4 linked regions of the Saccharomyces cerevisiae S288C genome follow. Changing the gene in region 1 together with any one later gene gives a genetic interaction. Each region holds a gene or a part of one and is shown in the gene's direction. Other genes may lie near its edges.

The links.
Region 2: mutations in THP1 (region 1) and RNA14 are lethal when combined (synthetic lethality), as found in Saccharomyces cerevisiae (one study listed by BioGRID).
Region 3: mutations in THP1 (region 1) and GBP2 together harm fitness more than expected from each alone (negative genetic interaction), as found in Saccharomyces cerevisiae (2 studies listed by BioGRID).
Region 4: mutations in THP1 (region 1) and SRO9 together harm fitness less than expected from each alone (positive genetic interaction), as found in Saccharomyces cerevisiae (2 studies listed by BioGRID).

What each region holds. Positions count from the first base shown.
Region 1 is NC_001147.6:191,867-197,735, forward strand, and holds THP1 (Thp1p), read left to right. Parts: upstream 1-3,103; coding exon 3,104-4,471; downstream 4,472-5,869. Other genes in the region: YOL075C (uncharacterized protein), read right to left, coding at 1-1,676; DSC2 (Dsc2p), read right to left, coding at 1,966-2,934; succinate dehydrogenase assembly factor SDH5, read left to right, coding at 4,641-5,129; NBA1 (Nba1p), read right to left, coding at 5,354-5,869. UniProt on the Saccharomyces cerevisiae protein: Component of the SAC3-THP1 complex, which functions in transcription-coupled mRNA export from the nucleus to the cytoplasm.
Region 2 is NC_001145.3:390,259-396,607, forward strand, and holds RNA14 (cleavage polyadenylation factor subunit RNA14), read left to right. Parts: upstream 1-2,496; coding exon 2,497-4,530; downstream 4,531-6,349. Other genes in the region: ferroxidase FET3, read left to right, coding at 1-474; SEN15 (Sen15p), read left to right, coding at 841-1,227; SAM complex subunit SAM37, read right to left, coding at 1,274-2,257; ARG7 (glutamate N-acetyltransferase), read right to left, coding at 4,796-6,121. UniProt on the Saccharomyces cerevisiae protein: Component of the cleavage factor IA (CFIA) complex, which is involved in the endonucleolytic cleavage during polyadenylation-dependent pre-mRNA 3'-end formation and cooperates with the cleavage factor NAB4/CFIB and the cleavage and polyadenylation factor (CPF) complex.
Region 3 is NC_001135.5:99,383-105,285, reverse strand, and holds GBP2 (single-stranded telomeric DNA-binding/mRNA-binding protein), read left to right. Parts: upstream 1-1,927; coding exon 1,928-3,211; downstream 3,212-5,903. Other genes in the region: ILV6 (acetolactate synthase regulatory subunit), read left to right, coding at 1-667; SGF29 (Sgf29p), read left to right, coding at 936-1,715; YCL012C (uncharacterized protein), read left to right, coding at 3,498-3,585, 3,653-3,969; BUD3 (Bud3p), read right to left, coding at 4,095-5,903. UniProt on the Saccharomyces cerevisiae protein: Binds to intron-containing transcripts and is involved in quality control for the export of spliced mRNAs from the nucleus. Binds to pre-mRNAs until splicing is completed or until faulty mRNAs are degraded.
Region 4 is NC_001135.5:55,520-61,315, reverse strand, and holds SRO9 (Sro9p), read left to right. Parts: upstream 1-2,637; coding exon 2,638-3,942; downstream 3,943-5,796. Other genes in the region: dithiol glutaredoxin GRX1, read left to right, coding at 143-475; GFD2 (Gfd2p), read right to left, coding at 590-2,290; ATG22 (Atg22p), read left to right, coding at 4,789-5,796. UniProt on the Saccharomyces cerevisiae protein: May overlap in function with tropomyosin and may be involved in organization of actin filaments. Acts as a multicopy suppressor of RHO3 mutation. RNA-binding protein which may modulate mRNA translation.

The sequences.
Region 1 (5,869 bases):
AAGGCAATATATTTAATCCAACGAACATACACGGGCATTACTTTAGCATTAACGAAAAAACCACATCCCATCGATAATACCGTAAATGTCATATTTCCTACTAATGAAGCTTTAGAAAAATCTCTCGATACCGCCACCGATAACATAGATAAACCGGAACATGATAGCTGACATAAAAATACAACAGCAAACTGATAAAAAAACTTCCTTGCATCTGCTTCCAATCCAAACATAAAATATGTTATACTGACAAAAATCATGGTCATCGCGAAATCGTCAGAGAGGAAAAGTGAAATTTTTCTAGCTACGATGAATGCCAAAGGTGTTACCGAGCCCTCTGCTCTTTCTCTGTCATATAACGCAATATCCTGCTCACAAAGTCGATAAGTATCAAAAAGCAAATACAAGTAACATTGCAAAATTGTGGACGCGTAAAGACATGCGGTTGTTGTCCTTAAACCACCTATACTGCTTTTGTCAGGTTTATAGTAAATCCAACCGCAAACAGTACCAATAATCAACGGTTCTGCAAAAGTAGATATTAAAGTAACGTAATCTGAAAAATTTAATTTGAAATTTCGCCTTGTTAGCACCGTAACTTGCTTCCAAAATGGCAGTCTGGTAGTCATATTCTGAATTTGAATTTCCGTTGCGTTGCTTATATAAGATTCTGCCTGTAGTTGCAAATGAGTTCTCTCATAATCATGCCAATGATCAATCAATGAATTTAGCCGACTTTGCGTGGCAGCTTCTTCTTTATCAGATCTAGAGTCTACGCTTGATAAATCAATGAAATAATCTGCTGGATTTACCAGCTGGGGTACGTGATAACCAATAGACTCAAAATAAGGGATAGTATTATCCATTTTGTCACAATATACCACATTTCCCTTTGACAAAATACAAACCTGGTCCAATAAAAACAATATATCCGATCTCGGCTGATGAATTGACATGATAAAAGTCCTGCCATCTTCTTTAGCTAATTTTTTCAAAGTTTTAATAACCAAGAAGGCAGAATATGCATCCAGTCCAGTGGTAGGCTCATCTAAGAACATGATGGAAGGGTTTGAAATCATTTGAGTACCAATACTTAGTCTTCTCTTTTCACCACCAGAAAGACCCCTGTGCGAGTTGTCCCCCACAAGAGTATCGGCACAATCCTTGAGCCCTAATTCTTCAATTAATTGCTCGACCATTAATTTCTTGGTTCGCTCAGAAGAGTTTAGTTTCAAATCAGCTGCAAACTTAAGAGTTTCTCTACAAGTCAACCTAGGAGAGAGTACATCTTGTTGAGGTAGGTACGCCATTATTACGTGTTTCTGGATGGGATGGTCTTGGCCATCCAAGTGAGCCCTCTTAGGCTCTGTTTCATTGGGTTCTGAACCTGTATCTTCCAATACGTACCGTATAGAACCATTATGAGTTAACCCACCACTGATCTTGGATGCCAGAACATTCAGCAACGTAGTCTTCCCTGACCCCGAACCACCCATAACTGCCATGACCGACCCACTGGGCAGGTCCATGGAAAACGTATTAACTAGCGTCGTATTTGTTTTGGATGCAACGATTGACAAATCCCTTACATGAAGGCTTATTCTAGGGATTCTTGAGAAGGAAAGTCTATTTTCGATTAATTCAGTGGCCACATCACCATTCTCCTGCTGTGACATAGTGGCTGCAAGTGGATGTTTGGCGTTGGTGATTGTAGCTTAAAATACGATGATCGTTTGAAAACTGCCAAGCACTTGTGCCTACTTCTGCATTTACATCACAAATTCGTTTATCTCATCACTAGATCCTTCCTTTTTTTTTTTTCACTTTCTGATATTTCGTATAAGTGTCAACCCAACAATACTAAAGCCAGACATATGATAGAAGTAACTGCCTCACATGGCTGTAAACGATGTTGCTAAACCGTTGCTATGTTTATTTGTTTATGTAGGTATATGCTGATATAAATCATCTCCTAAAGGTATCCAAAAATTGGACTCCCAGTGGTCTTGCAGGTTCATCGGCACCAGGCTCGTCATCACCAGCGCTAGAGGTATTTGTAGGGGTGGTGCTTGAACCACGAAGCGGTAGGCTTGTAGGCCCAGAGTTGCCTGTATTTCCATTTCCTGTAGCAGCAGTAGCTGCTTCTACAGTGGCTCTTGCTGCTGCTGTATTCGTGGCCGCATTGGCCGCTATAGCAACGTTAGCCCTCGTGGGTGGGCCTTGAGAGATGAAATAGGATACAAACGGTATTCTCCAATGGTCTAATCCCGGTAACAGGCCCTTATCGATGAAAATACCACACATCCAGCTTATGAATCCGCATAGTATTCCTGCAAACCCCTGATTTAATATAAGCAGGAGAATTAACCCATTTAAAAGAAACTGATCGTTGATTTTCCACTCTACGGCGCTCTTGTCTTCTCGCTTGTTATCATTGTGACTTGATGCTCCTCCTCGAGGTCCTAGTAATCTTATATTCCATTCGTAAATCTGAGGGGTGTATTCTTTGTAAAAATGTACTAAGCTTAAAACAATGGGCAGTGAACCTGTACTAAAATTGTTCCATTGAAGCCACTTGTACTGTCCAATAAATGCGTTCCAGATCAGATTCAATCCCCAAATTCCTAAGGTGGTGTAGGCCCATGACAAAACAATCAAGGTCAAGTACTTGTGGGATCCTAGTAGCCGTTCTAAATGCCTAAACAGATACCATATCAACGCCAGTATTACTGTATCGGATTCATTGATGGCGCAGAACTGGAATATGAGCAGACGGTAGTATTGATGGTAGGTCTGCAGAAAAGGATCATATTGCAATAGAAATATATGTTTGTAACTTGCAATCGAGGCAACTAAGGGAACCACAAGCGTCGTGATCATGGCTAGCTTGGTGACGGGCATAGCCGTAAGCCCCACAGGAGGCTCCATAGACATTATTTGTAGACTATTGTGTTTGCTTTTTATGTCGTTGACTTTCTCTCCCTTTAATAGTTAAGTTTATACGTCAAATTTCTCTTCTATACTTTTCCAAAAAAAAAAAACCATCTTCACATCAATGGCATTCAAAGTAAGAAACAGGGCAGGGATAAAAGGATAGATAGCAATGGACATGGCCAACCAGTTGCTAGATGAATTAGCACATGGAAATTTTTCCCACCTAACGCTAAACTTGTCCCAAAATGGTAGGGAAATTGCTATCTTACAGAAGCAATTGACCGGATTTGATGATAAACAGCTAGAAACGTTTGTAGAACAACACCCGGCTATGCCCAATGATACGAGATTCAAAATCATGTGTACATCCTTTTTAAATTATGCCCGAGATGTCGACCCATGGTCAGCCTGGTCCAGTTCGGATCTAATTTTTGAGTTTTATCAATGTTTAATCAACTGTCTCATCAACGACAATGCTCCTCACATAGAAATGTTGATACCAGTAGCAACTAGAGAAACAGAATTTATCATCAATCTCGCTGGGAAACTAGACTCTTTCCACTTGCAACTGCATACGAGAAGTCACCAATTTCTATCACATATATCGTCCATCCTATCAAGACTATTTAACAGCATCAAACCTCCACGAGGTAACGCATCTTCTACAAATATACCTGGAAAACAACGAATACTGCTCTACCTGGTCAATAAACTAAATAACATCTACTTCAGGATCGAGTCACCGCAATTATGTTCCAATATCTTTAAGAACTTTCAGCCAAAAAGCATGCTTGCACATTTCAACGAATACCAGCTCGACCAGCAAATAGAATACAGATATCTATTAGGAAGGTACTACTTGTTGAACTCTCAAGTACATAATGCCTTCGTTCAATTCAATGAAGCTTTCCAGTCCTTATTGAACTTGCCGTTAACGAACCAAGCGATCACTAGGAATGGCACCAGAATACTAAATTACATGATCCCTACAGGGCTGATACTGGGAAAGATGGTCAAATGGGGACCGTTGCGACCGTTCCTTTCCCAAGAAACAATTGATAATTGGAGTGTTCTCTACAAACACGTACGTTATGGGAATATTCAAGGCGTGAGTCTCTGGCTGAGACAAAACGAGCGTCATTTGTGTGCAAGACAGTTACTGATCGTGCTCCTAGAGAAACTGCCCATGGTAACGTACAGAAATCTGATTAAAACGGTAATAAAGTCCTGGACCACCGAATGGGGTCAGAACAAATTACCGTACTCCTTGATAGAACGGGTACTACAGCTATCTATTGGTCCGACATTCGAGGATCCCGGCGCCCAGGAAATTACCATTTATAATGGCATTCACTCCCCCAAGAACGTCGAAAACGTACTTGTGACACTGATTAACTTGGGACTTTTACGCGCAAACTGTTTCCCACAGTTACAACTGTGTGTAGTGAAAAAGACTACAATGATACAAGAGATTGTTCCGCCGGTTAATGAACGAATCACCAAGATGTTTCCTGCCCATTCTCACGTTCTTTGGTGATATGTAGATATATATAGGAAATAGAAGAGAAGGAGCGACATTATGCTGTTTCTTACAGATTTCATAAGAGACTAGATTTTAAGTATATTTAGGATATATAAGAAAGGCGAAATTTGTAAAAAAAGAACAGGAGGAAAAAAGGGAGTACACTTTAAAAAGGAGCACATAAATGCACAATATGTTTCCAGCACTCACAAAGACACTGTCGTTGCAAGGCTACAAGATTATCAACTCTCAAACAGGGTCCGCTGCATGGTCGTGCGGTCGTAGGTGGTTTAGTAGTGATAAAGATGACCACGACGATGTGGTGACGAGGATTAAAATTGCCCCCATAAAGAGAACTAACGAGCCATTGGATAAGAAAAGAGCTCGGTTGATATATCAATCACGCAAAAGAGGGATCTTGGAGACGGACTTGCTGCTATCTGGGTTCGCTGCCAAATATTTGAAGAAGATGAACGAAGAGGAACTGGAAGAATACGATTCGCTATTGAATGAGTTGGACTGGGACATATACTATTGGGCCACAAAAAATTTCAAAACCAGCCCCTTGCCTGACAAGTGGGCCAATTCTAAATTGCTGAAGCAGCTACAAGAATTCAGTGAAAATAAAGAGAAGGAAATTTTAAGTATGCCGGACTTGTCCAAGTATCAATGAATACAAGCCATTGAATTACTATCACTTTTTTTTATTTGTATATGACTTGTAAATAAACCGGAAGAGAAAGAAACTTATATATTACCACTATACTATACTATACTTATTGCTATTATTATTATTCATTATTAGTATTATAATATATTATTGATATTGATATTGATATTGTTATTGTTATTGTTACTACCACTGTTACTATTACTATTATTATTGTTGTTGCACCATCAAAACCCTTCAAGAGCCTTTGTAGCTTTGTCTAATCTTTTCAGTCCTTCTTCATAGCGGTCCGGATCAAGAACCATGTCTGCTGTTAACCTGGACAAAGAGTCTACTAGTCTCTCCAGGGCACGTTTCTCCTCAATTTTCATCCCCAGTTGCGCAAATTCAGACCCGATTAAGGTTCCCTTTGTCACACTCAACAGTTGATTTAGTGTGTCGATATCAAAGGATCGCAATTCCTTCACAGATTTTTTTTTATTGAGCTTTTTTTTCGTATCCTTCTTGAGTTTAGTTTTCTTGGGCGTTTCCTCAATGATGTCCTCGTACATGTCATCATCTTGTTTGTTTGTCGAAGTAGAGGTATGATTTGCCCTATCATGAATAGCCTTCAATGTGTCGTCACGTTTCAAATTCGATGTAACTCTGCTATCCTCATTGGGTGTGCTGGGCAATGGTCTTGTCAAGTAAGTCTCTTCCTCTGGAGGCATACTCGTTGCCGCAGAATAGTAAGATTCCGATTT
Region 2 (6,349 bases), on another chromosome or scaffold:
TGGTTCTTCCATTGTCATATCGAATGGCATTTGTTGCAAGGTTTGGGTCTTGTTCTCGTGGAGGATCCTTTTGGTATCCAAGATGCTCATTCTCAACAACTCAGTGAAAACCACTTAGAAGTTTGCCAGAGTTGCTCTGTGGCCACTGAAGGTAACGCCGCTGCCAATACACTGGATTTAACTGATTTAACTGGTGAAAATGTTCAGCATGCCTTCATTCCTACCGGTTTTACCAAAAAAGGTATTATTGCCATGACATTCTCCTGCTTTGCCGGTATTCTTGGTATTATCACAATTGCAATTTATGGTATGATGGATATGGAAGATGCGACCGAAAAGGTTATTCGAGACTTGCACGTGGACCCTGAAGTCTTGCTAAATGAGGTTGATGAAAATGAAGAGCGTCAGGTAAACGAAGATCGTCATTCCACTGAAAAGCATCAATTTTTAACTAAAGCCAAACGGTTCTTCTAATAAAGGAAGATCATGTATTTTGCGGTTAACCTGTTTTTTTTTTTTCGGTCAAGGGTTCCAAATGCATTTGCATGTAAAGTGAATGCCCTTGTCTTACTTAATATTACATAGACATATACTTAATAATCTACCACGTTTCAAATTCAATAATGCATGCTTCTTGGCGGTTTTTGACATGAGATCCTCATCTGTCACGAGGCTGATGTGCATACTTTTACTTTTAATCGATGACATGATCAGTTTCTTTTGAACAAAAAGCCGTTATGGGTTGAAAAAAAGTGAAAATGAAAAAGTCATCAGAAATATATGAAAGATATAATAAATTGTCGAAGAGAAATTACGTCGAGGAGGTTGAGGAAAATAAGAATGGCAACGACAGATATCATATCTCTAGTAAAAAATAATTTACTCTATTTCCAAATGTGGACGGAAGTGGAAATTTTACAAGACGATTTATCATGGAAGGGAAATAGCCTGAGATTACTGAGAGGTCGTCCGCCTCACAAGCTGAGCAACGATGTAGACACAGAGCATGAAAATAGCTTGTCATCGCCACGCCCGCTAGAGTTCATATTACCCATCAATATGTCACAGTACAAAGAGAATTTTCTCACTTTGGAATGCTTGAGCCAGACATTTACTCACTTATGTAGTCCATCTACTGAAAGAATACTGCTGGCCATAATTAACGATGATGGTACAATTGTTTATTACTTCGTTTATAAAGGAGTACGAAAACCGAAAAGAAATTGAAAAATGAACTTAAAGACACCTTTCTGCATTATTTTGTTTATTTTTATTATATGTATTTACAGGCTAAATTATATAATGACATCACAACGTTTCCTTGCTCTCTAAATTGAGGATCTCTTTGCTCCAAGTTATTACTTGGTCTATGGACGAAGTCATCAATTTTGTTCGACATACTATTCAATAATTCACTTCCAAAGGTTTGTTCCAGTTTTGAACGGATGCGGTTACCATCAGGTAGGCCTAACTGAACGTAAAGATTTGCAAGGAAAAGAAGGTCGGAGGAAAGTATTACAGAATCATCCAGTTTTTTACGGGCAGCCAACCAATTGCTGACGCAACTCTGTAGTCTATTATCAAATTGAAGATTATATTTCACCTGTTGTAGCTCTTGCTTACCCTTAATTTTGTTCTTATGCGCAATTTTGAAGGTCTTTGATTGTGCTAGTTGCGAGGCTGACTCCATTGCTTTACTTTCTACAAATTCTTCATCATCCTCAAGGGTCAGTGAGCCTATAATCTCCTCACAATTTTCACGTGCTTGCGATCTTAGTTGCAATGGCGTATTATACCACATAGGAAAATATAGCAATTTTGAAAACAACTTCTTGGTATATTCATTGTAATTTTTGGTGTTCAAAAAGAGCTGGTAGTCCGTTAGTCTGGAAATTTCAACGTCAACATAATTCAATAGGGAATACTCTAAAAGGCGATCCTTTTTTCTAACAATTGCTAAATCTTCTTCATAATCCGTACCTTTCTCATATTTGCTAGTACATATATTTTTATGTAAGAATTGTACGATGTTCACGTAACCAGATACTTTCGTTCCATTATCTAAAATTAACACTGGTAGTTTTCCATCTGATGATAGGTCTGTATTGTTTGAGAATACGATCTGCAATCCCGCAACCATACTCTTTGCCTCTTCTGAAGTACATAACTTGATAAACCATACAAGCGCAATGCTGTCCACTGAAATCAACGATGCTTTGCCATCCTTTCCCCATAAATGCACACTACCTTTAACCATTACTGACTCGATAATAGCCTTGCTTTGCGTTTATTTGAAAAATACAAATTCCAGCATTAAATAGTAGCCATTCTAAATAGCTTATTTCTTATTACATTTCCCACTTCGTTTAAAATGATAACAATCGTGACAAAATTGTCGGTTACCTTGTAATAATTAAGAAGAAAAGTGTAGCTTGTGTGATGAAAGAGTATTCTACAACGAAATAAAAGGCCAAACTGGAGAGTCAAACAAGAGATATGTCCAGCTCTACGACTCCTGATTTACTATATCCCTCTGCGGACAAAGTCGCAGAGCCTAGTGACAATATACATGGAGATGAACTACGACTTAGAGAAAGGATTAAAGACAATCCCACGAATATTTTATCATACTTCCAGCTTATTCAATATTTGGAAACTCAAGAGTCATACGCTAAGGTGAGAGAAGTATACGAGCAATTTCATAACACATTCCCGTTTTATTCACCTGCGTGGACTTTGCAACTAAAGGGTGAATTGGCAAGAGATGAATTTGAGACTGTTGAGAAGATTTTGGCTCAATGTCTTTCTGGCAAGTTGGAAAATAATGACCTATCTCTTTGGTCAACATATTTGGACTACATACGCAGAAAAAACAACTTAATTACTGGTGGACAAGAGGCGAGAGCTGTTATTGTCAAGGCATTCCAACTAGTTATGCAAAAGTGTGCAATTTTTGAACCCAAATCATCTTCTTTTTGGAACGAATATCTCAATTTTTTAGAGCAGTGGAAGCCATTCAACAAATGGGAGGAGCAACAGCGAATTGACATGCTCAGAGAATTCTACAAGAAAATGCTATGTGTTCCTTTTGATAATCTAGAAAAAATGTGGAATAGATACACTCAATGGGAACAAGAAATAAATTCCCTAACAGCCAGAAAATTTATTGGCGAGTTATCAGCCGAATACATGAAAGCCCGTTCCTTATACCAGGAATGGTTGAACGTTACTAATGGATTGAAAAGGGCATCTCCAATTAATCTGCGCACAGCAAACAAGAAAAACATACCACAACCAGGTACCTCAGACTCAAACATTCAGCAGTTACAGATTTGGTTGAATTGGATAAAATGGGAAAGGGAGAATAAGTTGATGCTTAGTGAAGATATGCTATCACAAAGAATCAGTTACGTTTATAAACAAGGTATTCAATACATGATATTTTCTGCTGAAATGTGGTACGATTATTCAATGTATATATCTGAAAATTCGGATCGACAAAATATCTTATATACTGCGTTATTAGCTAATCCCGACTCACCTTCTCTTACATTCAAGTTATCCGAATGCTACGAACTGGATAATGATTCTGAAAGTGTTTCTAACTGTTTTGACAAGTGCACTCAAACTTTACTATCGCAGTATAAAAAGATCGCCTCCGATGTAAATTCGGGTGAAGATAATAACACAGAGTATGAACAAGAGCTGCTATACAAACAGAGGGAAAAATTAACATTCGTGTTTTGCGTGTATATGAATACGATGAAAAGAATATCAGGACTATCCGCAGCACGTACTGTATTTGGTAAATGTCGTAAACTGAAGCGTATATTAACACATGACGTCTACGTGGAAAATGCATATTTAGAATTTCAAAATCAAAACGATTATAAGACTGCTTTTAAGGTTTTAGAATTGGGTTTAAAATACTTCCAAAACGATGGAGTTTATATCAACAAATACTTAGATTTTTTAATATTTTTAAATAAGGATTCGCAGATCAAAACCTTATTTGAAACATCAGTGGAAAAAGTGCAAGATTTAACCCAGCTGAAGGAAATATACAAGAAAATGATAAGTTATGAATCGAAATTCGGTAACTTAAACAACGTTTATTCTCTAGAGAAAAGATTTTTCGAACGGTTCCCCCAAGAAAATTTGATTGAAGTTTTCACAAGTCGTTATCAAATTCAAAACTCCAACTTAATAAAGAAATTAGAGTTAACTTATATGTATAATGAGGAAGAAGACAGTTACTTTTCTTCTGGAAACGGGGATGGCCATCATGGCTCTTACAATATGAGTTCGTCAGATAGAAAGAGACTAATGGAGGAAACTGGAAACAATGGAAACTTCTCCAATAAGAAATTCAAAAGAGACTCAGAGCTTCCAACAGAGGTTCTTGATTTATTGAGCGTTATACCAAAACGTCAATATTTTAATACAAATTTACTCGATGCGCAGAAATTGGTGAATTTTTTAAATGATCAAGTAGAGATTCCAACAGTTGAGAGCACCAAGTCAGGTTAACATTACGTTAATAAATAGGTATATATGAATATTTATACCAACACATCTATTATAATAGGCGAACCTCTGTATGTAATTAAGTAAAAAAAAAACGATGTGACAGGATAGTTAAGGTGCCTCGTACATAAATAAAAACGGAAATAGTTAATTCTTTCAAAAATATGGCAATAGCCAAACTCATTCAGAAGGTACAGGAAACACTCTGTTTCTGTGCGTTTATATAACCATGCTTATAAAAGAAAGATTGAACAAAATATACATGAATTTATGAACGGTAATCACCGTTAATTGTTACATATTCATGTGATAAATCACAAGTCCAAAATTGTGCTGCCTGATCACCGGTTCCCAAGTCGACAGACACTTCCAAATCATTCAAAGCCAATATTTCAGAAGCCCTTGTTTCATCGATCTCCAATTGTGGCACACCATTAGCGACAAGCTTCAGCTCACGAGGTTCTGAATTGTCGGTAGCAATAAAGCTAACATTAATTTTGTTGACATCTAGAGATTTTAAGTCATTCAGCTTTGCATACCCGATCGCGCACAATATTCTTCCCCAATTGGCATCTTGCCCATATAGTGCGGTTTTGACCAACATAGAGTTTGAGATTGATTCAGCAATTATTTTGGCGTCTTCAAAATGCAAAGCATTTTTAACGTTAACAGTAACAAACTTTGTCGAACCTTCACCATCGCGAACGACTAACTGGGCCAAGCGCTGAGCAAATTCTGTGACCTGCAATTTTACTTGTTCAAAATCTTTAGAGTCTTCGTTAATTTCTTTGGTGTCAATAGCACCGTTGGCCAACATGCAAATTGTGTCATTGGTGCTCATATCACCGTCCACCGATATACAATTAAATGAACGGGTAGTAGCGAAAGTCAGCATCTTCTGCAACGCCTTGCTTTCAATAGGAAGATCTGTAACTATGAAACCTAATAAGGTAGCCATATTCGGACAAATCATACCCGCGCCCTTTGCCATACCTGTCAAAGTATACTCAGTACCACTAGGTAATTTGAATCTAGATGTAACTAATTTTGGGAAAGTATCAGTAGTACAGATTGATTTGGCTACGTTCAACCAAGAGTTAAAATCACTGCCGAACTTTTCTTCTCCAAAAATTTTATTGATACCAGTGCTGATCTTGTCCATCTGTAGTCGTTGTCCAATAACGCCTGTAGACATGACTAGGGTAGAATTTTTTTGACCAATTTTATCGTTAACCAAATCAATCATTACTTGGGCATCTTTCATACCAAGATCACCTGTGACCGAGTTAGCACAACCGGAATTGACTACAATAGCGTTGATGTTTTTACCACGAGCAGTTTCAAGGACTTTTTTCGATGTCAAAACTGGCGCAGCTTTGAATTTATTGGTCGTGAAAACAGCTGCTGCGGTTGAAGGACGAGATTTATTGGTATTCAAGATTACACCCAGGTCCAGGCTCCCGTTTTTTTTGACTCCAGATGCAGTGTAGCCTACTTCAAATCCTTTAGGAAAAGAGCCCGTCTTGGGCACGTATAATGCATACTTATCTATAAGCTGCTTCGAGCGTTGAAGCAATGTTGATGATATTCTCATGCTATGTTGAATTTTGGACTTCTTTAAATAAAGGGAATAGAAGTATTGCTGATACTAGCCCAAAAATCGTCACCTTTGTGCGGCGAGCCGAGGATGAGGCTTTTATATACTCGACGACTAAAGAAGTTGGCAACGAATTACGCAGTGAGTCATCCTACCTGTCCATCGCAGTAGAAAAAGACCTTCGCCAAGAAAACACCGTCAATAATGATTGCTAAGCACTCTCAC
Region 3 (5,903 bases), on another chromosome or scaffold:
CGGTGTCTTGTCCAGAGTCTCGGGTACGTTAGCTGCCAGAGGCTTTAACATCGATTCGTTGGTCGTGTGCAACACCGAGGTCAAAGACCTAAGTAGAATGACCATTGTTTTGCAAGGGCAAGATGGCGTAGTCGAACAAGCACGCAGACAAATCGAAGACTTGGTCCCCGTCTACGCCGTCCTAGACTATACCAATTCTGAGATCATCAAAAGAGAGCTAGTGATGGCCAGAATCTCTCTATTGGGTACTGAATACTTCGAAGACCTACTATTGCACCACCACACTTCCACCAATGCTGGCGCCGCTGACTCCCAAGAATTGGTCGCCGAAATCAGAGAAAAGCAATTCCACCCTGCCAACTTGCCCGCCAGTGAGGTATTAAGGTTGAAGCACGAGCATTTGAACGATATCACCAACTTGACCAACAACTTTGGAGGTCGTGTCGTCGACATCAGCGAAACAAGCTGTATTGTGGAGTTGTCTGCAAAACCCACACGTATCTCTGCCTTCTTGAAGTTGGTCGAGCCATTCGGTGTCCTAGAGTGTGCAAGAAGCGGTATGATGGCATTGCCAAGAACTCCTTTGAAGACAAGCACCGAGGAAGCTGCCGACGAAGACGAAAAGATCAGCGAAATCGTCGACATTTCCCAACTACCACCTGGTTAGGTTAGTCTCTCGGCCTTGCGATCGCCCTCGGGACTCTCCTCTATACATCTATATAACGTATCTATAACCATGAGCCTATTTACTCATAAGTTGCTATGATTGTACGTTTGTACGAGGTGACGCGTTACTAAACTATTTTTTTCTTTTGGTTTTCTGCTTTCCTCTTCGATTTTGCCAGATACGAAAAAGGTTAAAGACACAATACCTTGGTGGCTTCTCTAAGTGGGGGGAGTTTTTCACAGCAAAACACACGGTCACCTTTCTTATTATGGACGGATATTGGGATGTTGTAGTGTCGTCCTTGCAAGACATATACAATGCCAACGAGGTCATTCCCTTTGATGATGAGCTGCAAACAAAAAAACTAAATTTCCTTAATATGTCAAAGGATCAGCTGCAATTGCATCTCAACACTTTCCAAGAACACATGGAAAACGTCAACAGAGTGCACCGAATCCTTGACAATGTACGTTCCAATTTGTCGTTGATGTTGAATCAGTCACGAGAGGAAAAGAGTGAGGAAAATACTGAAGATGCAGAAGAAGGAGAAGGGACACGCATGGCATTGTCGCAGGGCAAGAAAGCTGTGGGGAAAGTTGGCAGATCGTACTGGACCAGCGAATACAACCCAAATGCACCTATTTTGGTGGGCTCAGAGGTTGCCTATAAGCCCAGAAGGGGCAGTGCCGACGGCGAATGGATACAGTGTGAAGTACTCAAAGTCGTAGCAGATGGTACACGATTTGAAGTGAGAGATCCTGAACCTGATGAATTGGGCAACTCAGGCAAGGTGTATAAATGTAATCGGAAAGAACTACTGTTGATCCCGCCAGGCTTTCCCACTAAGAACTACCCGCCAGGTACTAAGGTTCTGGCAAGATATCCTGAAACGACCACTTTTTATCCTGCAATTGTCATCGGAACCAAGAGGGACGGCACTTGCAGGCTTCGATTTGATGGTGAAGAGGAAGTGGACAAAGAGACGGAAGTGACTCGCCGTCTAGTGCTGCCTTCGCCAACGGCTTTGGCAAACCTAGCAAGGAAATAGCAATGGTGGTTAACATTTACTACATATCATAAGATCTTCTCATGGCATTTTGTCATTATTTTGGTATCGTCGGAAGTGATGTATTCACTTGAAGGTGAAAAAAATTGAAAAAAAATGAAAGCTTGGATGAAATCAATTATATTGAGGATTTCCCATTAGAAATAAGCTATGGGCGAAAAGGAAACAAACATCAGCTGGATTTTTTCGCCAAGATGGAGAGAGAGCTAGGGATGTATGGAAATGATAGGAGTAGATCAAGATCACCTGTACGTCGTCGTTTGAGCGACGACAGAGACAGGTACGATGATTATAACGATAGTAGCAGTAATAATGGTAATGGCAGTCGTCGTCAGAGACGCGACCGAGGCTCCCGTTTCAATGATCGGTACGATCAGAGTTATGGTGGCAGCCGCTACCACGATGATAGGAACTGGCCCCCTCGCCGAGGAGGCCGTGGCAGAGGAGGAAGCAGATCATTCAGAGGGGGACGCGGTGGCGGTAGGGGTCGTACTTTAGGTCCAATTGTTGAAAGAGACTTAGAAAGGCAATTTGACGCGACCAAGAGAAATTTTGAAAATAGTATCTTCGTGAGAAACTTGACTTTTGATTGTACCCCTGAAGACCTTAAGGAATTGTTTGGTACAGTGGGCGAAGTTGTGGAGGCTGACATTATCACATCAAAGGGCCATCACCGTGGTATGGGGACTGTGGAATTTACCAAAAACGAATCTGTCCAAGATGCCATATCGAAGTTTGATGGTGCCCTCTTTATGGACCGGAAACTAATGGTAAGACAGGATAATCCTCCTCCTGAAGCTGCCAAGGAATTTTCTAAGAAAGCTACTAGGGAAGAAATAGATAATGGGTTTGAAGTGTTCATCATCAATTTACCGTACTCTATGAATTGGCAATCCTTAAAAGATATGTTTAAAGAATGTGGTCATGTCTTGCGTGCCGATGTAGAATTGGATTTCAACGGATTTTCAAGAGGATTCGGTTCTGTCATTTATCCTACTGAGGATGAAATGATTAGAGCTATCGATACATTCAACGGCATGGAAGTAGAAGGTAGAGTTTTGGAAGTTAGAGAAGGGCGTTTCAACAAGAGAAAGAACAATGATCGTTATAATCAAAGGCGTGAGGACCTTGAAGATACCAGAGGTACTGAACCAGGTCTTGCGCAGGATGCCGCTGTCCACATTGATGAAACTGCAGCAAAATTTACTGAAGGTGTCAATCCAGGAGGGGATAGAAACTGTTTCATTTATTGTAGTAATTTACCATTCTCAACAGCAAGAAGCGATTTATTCGACTTGTTTGGGCCTATCGGCAAAATCAATAACGCGGAATTGAAACCACAGGAAAATGGTCAACCAACTGGTGTTGCTGTTGTAGAATATGAAAATTTAGTAGATGCAGATTTTTGTATTCAAAAATTAAATAATTATAATTATGGTGGTTGTAGTTTACAGATCTCTTATGCTAGACGTGATTAATTCCTAAGCACCAACCGAACCATGACCTGTGTACTTTATGATAACGTATAAATAATAAGGAAGCGGGCGGGTTATAAATAACTTTAATAGTTATATTTATCATTTTGACCAAAAAGAATAACCTTATTTAATCCCTGTAAAAGAGCACCACTTCCAGCGATGAGATGCGAAAAGCGAAGAAAAAAAAAAAAAAAAAAAGGGTATTCTAAACTGAATATATAAAAACTGCCACCAATTAAGAGAAGAAAAGCTACACAATTAATTTCCAAAAATTGCAAATACGAGTATGAAGAGTTTGTTCTATCTCAAATTGCTCCTCTGGGTTGTGCTATTGTCTTTATGCCTTCTTATGGCACACCGGAAAACCAAAGTTGGTATGTATATTTAAGCATTTGAAAATGCAAAGTGCAAACCGTATCTAAATACTAACAGCTGTAATAGCCGACAAATTTCGTGCACTGCGTTCAAGAATACAATTACGTTTTAATAGACATATACGTTTAAATGATTCCTTTGCTGATGACCTAGAAAACGGTCTCCATTCCAGGAATTTCGATATTATCTCGGAGAATAGCAACGACGTAAGAGGTGGTTTGGATGATGTCTCCAAGAATGAGATTAAACAAATTATGGAAAACGATAATGTAGATTTCGATAAGGCTAGACTATTATATATGGAAAGAAAGTTCGGCCAAAATGGTATTGCCCCCGATGGAACCCCTATTGATCCAAAAGCATTCACCTTTGATAGTAGGTAAAGGTATCTAATATATTCAGTTTTACTTAAGTGGGAGGTTTTTCCCCCTTTTTCTTATTTGTCCATATTTTATGTAAATGTATACATTGCATTAAATTAAAAAGAAAAAAAAAATCAATAAAACACTCAATAAAATTTCAGTTTCTCTGGGCCACCAACAGCGCAGTTCTGTTTCCCATCTTCATCTTCATCGTCACTCAACGCAACAAAATCTTTTAAGTACGCGTACGAAGCATCTTTAGTTAACAGCATATTTGTCATATTACCGATAGATCCCTCTCCAGTATATTTGTATTTTCTACTGTCGTTGTTTTTCAAAGGAACAGTATTACGCTCTGGCGTCAATGCTTTAGTTCTCCTACTTAGATCAGCAAAGTCAATTTTGCTAGGGGAAACCCAAATGGGCTCGTCTTTTTGTTTCTTTCGAAGGAACCCCTCTTTCTCATGCTTTGTGCTACTCTGAGGCAAAACATAGATTAATGGTCCACTAGGAGACTCTTGAACTTTCTGAGCATTTCCTAACACGGTTTTATTCGAACTTAAGTCGGATGATATTTTCATATTGTCAGTACTCATGGAGGTATTTCCAAATGCTATATTAAATGAACTGAATTCTAAATCATCTAACAGTTCGGTAGGTTTTTGATCAATATTACCGCTACTCAACTTATCGTCTGTGCTCTTGTTATTTGAAGTTGTAACGTTAATACTTCGCGGAGTATTTGGAAGTTCTTCCACCGGAAATTCAGCAGTGGGTTCCTCTGCTGGAGTATAGAATCTGTCATCCGGAATTTCATCTTGGGATGGAAATTTTAATTCCATCAGCCTTTTGTCAGGTTCATCATTGTTGTGAGTATCATAAGTGAACGAAATATCAGATGGAGAGCCATTTTCATATTTTCTAGTGTCTTCAAAAGTCCTTCCGATAATTCTCACAGGCGATGTTCTAATAACTTTGAATGCTGGGGGCTTCTCGATTTTTGGAATAGAATTGGATGGATTATTATTACCGACATCTTCATTACCGGTTTTGCTGCCCTTCAATTCTTCCTTAAGTTCTTCTTCAATTTCGAAGAATTTGTCATCACTTTTTTCAATACCCGAGTCATCTAGATGCGCCTTAGGCAAATAAGTTGGGATAGGTTGCTGCATTTCATACTCAATCACTTCAGAAATTTGAGTCATTCTTTCCGCCTTGGCATCATCCTGACTTTTATTTATAATTGCCGCATCTTCCTCAGTATTGACTTTTAGTCCCTCACTTAAGGAGACTTGACTAGCCAAGCGTTTCCAGTTATAATGGGCATCATGCTTATCTAAAACCACCCTCATTCCTTGAAAGAGCTCAATATAGGATGGTGACCTTTGAAAGTTAATTTTTGAAGCTGGCGGCGCTAACCTAGGAATAGTGGGGAATATTTCTTTCCGTTCAGTTATTCCTTCAACAAAATTTTTTGGTTTAGTTATTTCTTTCGCTGTTTCTTTATCACTGTAATCATCTCCTAATTTTATGTCCTTTGCGTCCTTCCCTTCATTGTTGGTATCTTTTAATTCATTAGAATTTTCTGTCAGCACTTTACTCGCTTGTGGAGAGAGTTTCTGCGTCAATGTAGATGCATCTTCATTAGTTTTGAGAGATATGTTAGTGTTTTCATTTGATACGCCCTTTTCTTGGGGCACCTTTCCCTCTGGAAACAAATTACTCGAGCTGTTAATGTTCTCCTGTTTATTACGGTAATGCTTAGGAATAAAATCACCAAAGAGGTCATCGTTAAAAACTCTACTTTCATTCTGTCTGTGTTCATCGTCATCACTTAAGTTTTCAACATCAGCTGCACGTAAAAATTCGCTTTGGGTATCAATACGTTGGTCCCCAGCCGATGTTGTAGAAACCCTATTTGCTGTAGTCACCTCAGCAAGGTCTGGCAGCTCTTT
Region 4 (5,796 bases), on another chromosome or scaffold:
TGAAAGGAGTAAATATATAAAATAAATGAAAAGTTTATATAATATAAAAAGGGACTTTAGCATAAAATAAAGAACTTCGTGCAGTACTTATACGAGCATTCGCATAATTATACAAATAGACAAAACCTCAGAAGGAAAAAAAATGGTATCTCAAGAAACTATCAAGCACGTCAAGGACCTTATTGCAGAAAACGAGATCTTCGTCGCATCCAAAACGTACTGTCCATACTGCCATGCAGCCCTAAACACGCTTTTTGAAAAGTTAAAGGTTCCCAGGTCCAAAGTTCTGGTTTTGCAATTGAATGACATGAAGGAAGGCGCAGACATTCAGGCTGCGTTATATGAGATTAATGGCCAAAGAACCGTGCCAAACATCTATATTAATGGTAAACATATTGGAGGCAACGACGACTTGCAGGAATTGAGGGAGACTGGTGAATTGGAGGAATTGTTAGAACCTATTCTTGCAAATTAAGGGCAGACAAAGTTTTTTCCATGCACACAGGTTTATAATGAGCTTATATATATGTATATGTATATGTATACAAGCATGTGTTTGTATTTACAGGAAAAAAATCGATGAATATATTTAGTGTGTCGGAAGAGTGCTTGTGAAGGCGTCTTTAGCAGTTCCGAAATACGTTAACCCACCGAATTCCGTTTGGCAGACTCTTTCCTTCCTACTGCTCTTGACGCCCTTGCGGTACGTCCGATTTTTGACTGCCTCCTCGATGGAGATGGCATACGACATGGGCACCACTTTAGGCTCTCGTACGTCTCGTTCTCCCCAAACTTTTACTTGGCCCATTACTTTAAGAACATCGTCCATGCCGCTTATTTTCCTGAAATTAACATCGCAAAACTTCATGAACAAATGCAGGGTATAGTAGGCATCGTTACCGGCATTGTGTAGAAACGCATGCGGTATCTCGAACAACCGCAGAATCTTGCCCAGACTGCTGCCCTTTTCGCCATACGATTTCCTGTAAAACTGCTCAGTGTCCAAGATGAACACGTCTAGATCACCGGGAGTTTCAGCCAAAAGCAGCGTATGGTCCAGATGGCCTTCATACCCTCTGCCAGGGAATTTGACACCAATAGTCTCCAGCCACTTAAGATCCCCGCTCACGTGATGACCAACAAATGCCCTTGACCATGTCTTGTCTTCTTCGGTCACCGGGACCAAGTAATAGTTTATTAGTGATTGAATGAAATGCACGCACTCTTTCAAGCTCAAAACATAGCTTTCTCCCAATAAGTAGCAATCCTTGTAGTCACAGACCCATTTTTGGTTTCTAAGTTCCAGGGACTCCTCGATAATTAGGTGGTAATTCTTTGTAATTGGAACCATTGACGGCACCATATTTTCCCTGGGGTCATAAATTGAAATCCCAATTTCGGTGATTACGTTCTGGTTTGTTTCGAAAGCCTCTATATCAAGACAAAAGCATATTGCTCTCTGAGAGGCCATCAGCCTGATGCATTTCTCCAGATAAGCAAATTCATTCGAGCGTGAATGTGCTTCCACCATGGGCCAGAACGTCTTCCTCACGCTGTTTTTCTCGTCAGCCAGTAGTTTCTGTTCTGTCTCTAGGAGCTTGATGGTACCATTCATTCCTAACATTTTCTTCTGAATGGCTTCGAACCAAGCGGTGTCGCTCATTCCTTTGGGCTGCGGACAGATACAGTTGGCTCGGTCCTCTTTGGTCAATGGAGACAGCCGCTGTGATCTTTTGGACCTGGGTGGTACGATCGTGTCGCTTAATCTTTTCAAAAACCGGCGTTCTTCCACGAGTTTTTCCAGTTTTGCATGCACATCACCATGTACCATATGCCATTCACTGTCCACCTGCGCCAGTTTGGCTTCCAATTGCGCCCTGGATTGTCCATAGGAGGCATCAAACTTCTGCCTCATCTCCGCCACATATGCATCGATCATGGGCTTCCTTAGTTGGTCCAATTCCTTAGAAAACGCGGTCTTTCTCAACTGTACATAGTAATCTATCTGGTCCAGCCAATTGCACTTAGCACGGTCCCAGGGCGTATTCAATTGGGTCCTGGCATCCAGAAACGCCTCCACACAGCCCGCGATCTTGCCGCTTCCTGTTCGGTCCTTCACTAATCCTCTGACAGAGAGCGTCCCATTACTTAGTTTTGTTGCCAAAGCACCGGTATTACCGCTTCTGGAACGATAACGGGGGCCTGCGCCGTTATTATTCCTCCTCTCCCAATGGACGCTTTTATCGCTACCGTTATTACTGTTATCTCTCACCATTTTTTGAACCTGCATGTGGATCTGGACTCTCGAGCAAGACCCAAGTTCTCATTGCCTCCTTTCCTTCTTCCCTTCTTATATGTTGTCTTGTTGAACCTCAAAACACTAGCGGATAATACGGATTTTGAGGGATGCTCATCGCAAATTTTTCAGAAATGGTGCACGGATGTACCCACGCAATGAAAAATTTTTTTCACTTCTGGTAGGTCAAGAACAAAGAAAGAAAAGTACAAGTGTAAACATTTCTTAACATCTTTTTCGGTTTTATGAAGATCTTTTGGGATCCTAGATCGGTAATAGAACATCAGGATTACTCTGGACCTGCTAACGTGTTTCATCTTCTTTTCACTTCTCTGCCCACGATGTCTGCTGAAACCGCCGCCGCAAACACTGCTACTGCCCCAGTCCCAGAAGTGCAAGAACAAGAGAGCTCCAAGAGCAAGCAAGTCAACTTGACGCCGGCACCATTGCCCACATCTTCCCCATGGAAACTTGCTCCTACTGAGATCCCTGTTTCTACTATCTCAATAGAAGACTTGGATGCCACAAGAAAGAAGAAGAACAGAACACCCACTCCGAAATCATCGACTGCTACCAAGTGGGTTCCCATCAAGGCCTCCATTACCGTCTCTGGCACCAAAAGATCCGGTTCCAAGAATGGTGCAAGTAATGGCAACAGCAACAAGAGCAAAAACAACAAAACTGCAGCATCGTCGACATCGTCGAGTAATGCTAACAGGAAAAAGAAGCATCACCAACATAATGCTAAGAAGCAACAACAAATGAAGAAAGATGGCTTTGAATCGGCAGTAGGTGAGGAAGATTCAAAAGACGCTACCTCTCAAGAAAATGGTCAATCTACACAACAGCAACAACCACCTCACCACCGTAATCATCACCACAGTCATCACCATAACAGCAATGGTCCTCAAAGGAGAAAGTTCCACAACAGTAATAACGCCGGTATGCCTCAGAACCAAGGCTTCCCACCACAGTTTAAACCTTACCAAGGACGCAACGCTCGTAATAACAACAACAACCGCTCTAAATACCACAACCACTTCCATCACAACCAACAACATCCTCAACAACCTATGGTCAAATTACAGCAACAGTTTTATCCAGTCCAACCAGTGTTAATGGCCATCAACAACATTGCTAGACAAATTGAATACTATTTCAGCGAAGAAAACTTGACCGTCGACAATTACTTAAGGTCCAAACTCTCCAAGGATGGTTTTGCTCCATTGTCTTTAATCTCTAAGTTTTACAGAGTTGTTAACATGTCCTTCGGAGGTGACACTAACCTGATTTTAGCCGCATTGAGAGAAATTGTCGCTAACGAAGCCGCTACCGTCAATGTTGCAGAAGGTACTTTGGCCGCCAAGGAAGGTGATAACGTTACCGGTGAAGCCAAAGAACCATCTCCATTGGATAAGTACTTCGTTCGTTCCAAGAGCTGGTCAAACTGGTTACCAGAAACTTTTGAAACTGAAATTAATATTGAAAAAGAACTGGTCGGCGATGCATTGGACCAATTCATGATATCCCTACCACCTGTTCCTCAACAAGAAGAGGAATCATCCACTGAACTCGCTTCTCAAGAACAAGAAACCAAAGAAGACTCTGCGCCGGTTGCTGCCGGTGAATCCGAGTCTTCCTTATAAAGGCCTCTCACACTTGCAAAATAAAAAATGGATTCGTTCATTGCATTTTACACAAAAAACCATAAAAAATTGAAAAACCTAATAATTAAAAAAATTAAAAGTTAATCATCCTCCAGCAAAGCTGTTTTTTTTTTGTTTTTTTTTTTTTTTTTGTTTTTTTATCCATTTTTTTCATTTGTTCCATCAGTTTAATACGAAAGAGAAAATAAAAATAAAAACTTTGAACAATTTTCATGTTTTGAATTCATTGTACATTATCATCATAAGCAATAAGATACAAATATTTATGTTTTTTTTTTTTTGTTTTTTTTTTTTTTTAAGATATAAAAATACTAGCCTCTTCTCACTTCGTTTTCTCTCTGTCTAAGTGGCTACCATCATGAGATATGATATTCTTTCTTCTCCCTGCGCAATTCTTAAACCACCTGCTTTTTTTATTCAATTTTTTGCTAATTTAATAATTGGGAAGAAGATATGAAAAATGCCTATTTTACTCTAAGCAATTCATATGTAAAAAATTTTATGTATAGTTTTTTTTTTCTCTTTTGTGCTGTCAAATTCCTTTTTATTGTCATCTAAGACCATGCTTTAGCTTCTGTCATGTATAATGCAACGTGTCTTAGATTATTAATTGTTGTATTGTGCGGCATTGATAGCGCCGCTCAACAATTTTAGGAAATTGCTAAAATTAATTCCTTAAAACGGTATTTTCCTAAACGAAAATACCTCAGCTATTGAAAGATGCGTAGTGTAAACAAAAGGAAAGATTTCAAACTGTACCTATATTACCACGGTTTTTGCCCTTATAAGCAATAGTTTGCTCATAACATATTCTCTACATTAGATATGAGCTATGGAACTATAAATGATATGAATGAATCGGTAACGAACTATCGAATAAAAAAAGCCCAAAACAATATCAAGGGATGGTACGCTTACTCATTTTCTAGCGAACCATTTGTCGTTTCTGCGGTTTCAACGTATATTCCCTTACTACTGCAGCAATTTGCGAGTATAAATGGTGTAAAAGTTCACGATCACTCCATACCCTGCCTGTCAGAAACGGGTAGTGATTCAGATAAGTGTGTTCTTGGTTTGTTCAACAATCGGATCTTCGTAGATACTTCAAGTTTTGCATTATATGTCTTTTCCCTTAGCGTTTTATTCCAAACTATAATAGTCATTTCCGTTTCAGGGATAGTAGATCTCTGGGGGAGCGTTAAATTCAAAGGCAGAATTCTGGTTTGGTTTGGTATTGTGGGCGCATTGTCGACTGTTGCGATTTCAAAATTGAATGATACCCAGATTTATTCTCTGGCTGGGCTTTATATAGTGGCCAATGGTTGTTTTGGCGTTATCAATGTTGTTGGGAATTCTCTTCTGCCCATTTTTGTCAAGGATTCTTTGAAATGTCAAAGTCAAGGAGCTTATGAACCTGATAAGGTAGACTCGTTAACTACTGTTATTAGCGGTAGAGGTGCATCTTTAGGTTATTCAAGTGCCCTCATTGTTCAGATTGTATCTATGTTCTTAGTCGCATCTAAAAAGGGCAGTAAGCAGGATGTTCAAGTGGCTGTTCTTTTCGTTGGGATTTGGTGGTTTGTGTGGCAACTGCCCATGATCTGGTTGATTGACGATGTGACAATACCGATAAGAGTTGACGATTCTACATTAGCATCCGCCCGCAGTCCGTATCCCGGTGAGCAAGACGCCTTGGGTCAACTAAACTGGAAGAATTACCTTTCATATGGTTGGGTTTCGCTTTTCGAATCGTTTAAACATGCCAGACTATTGAAAGATGTGATGATTTTTCTTATTGCGTGGTTTATTATTAGTGATTCCATTACAACTATA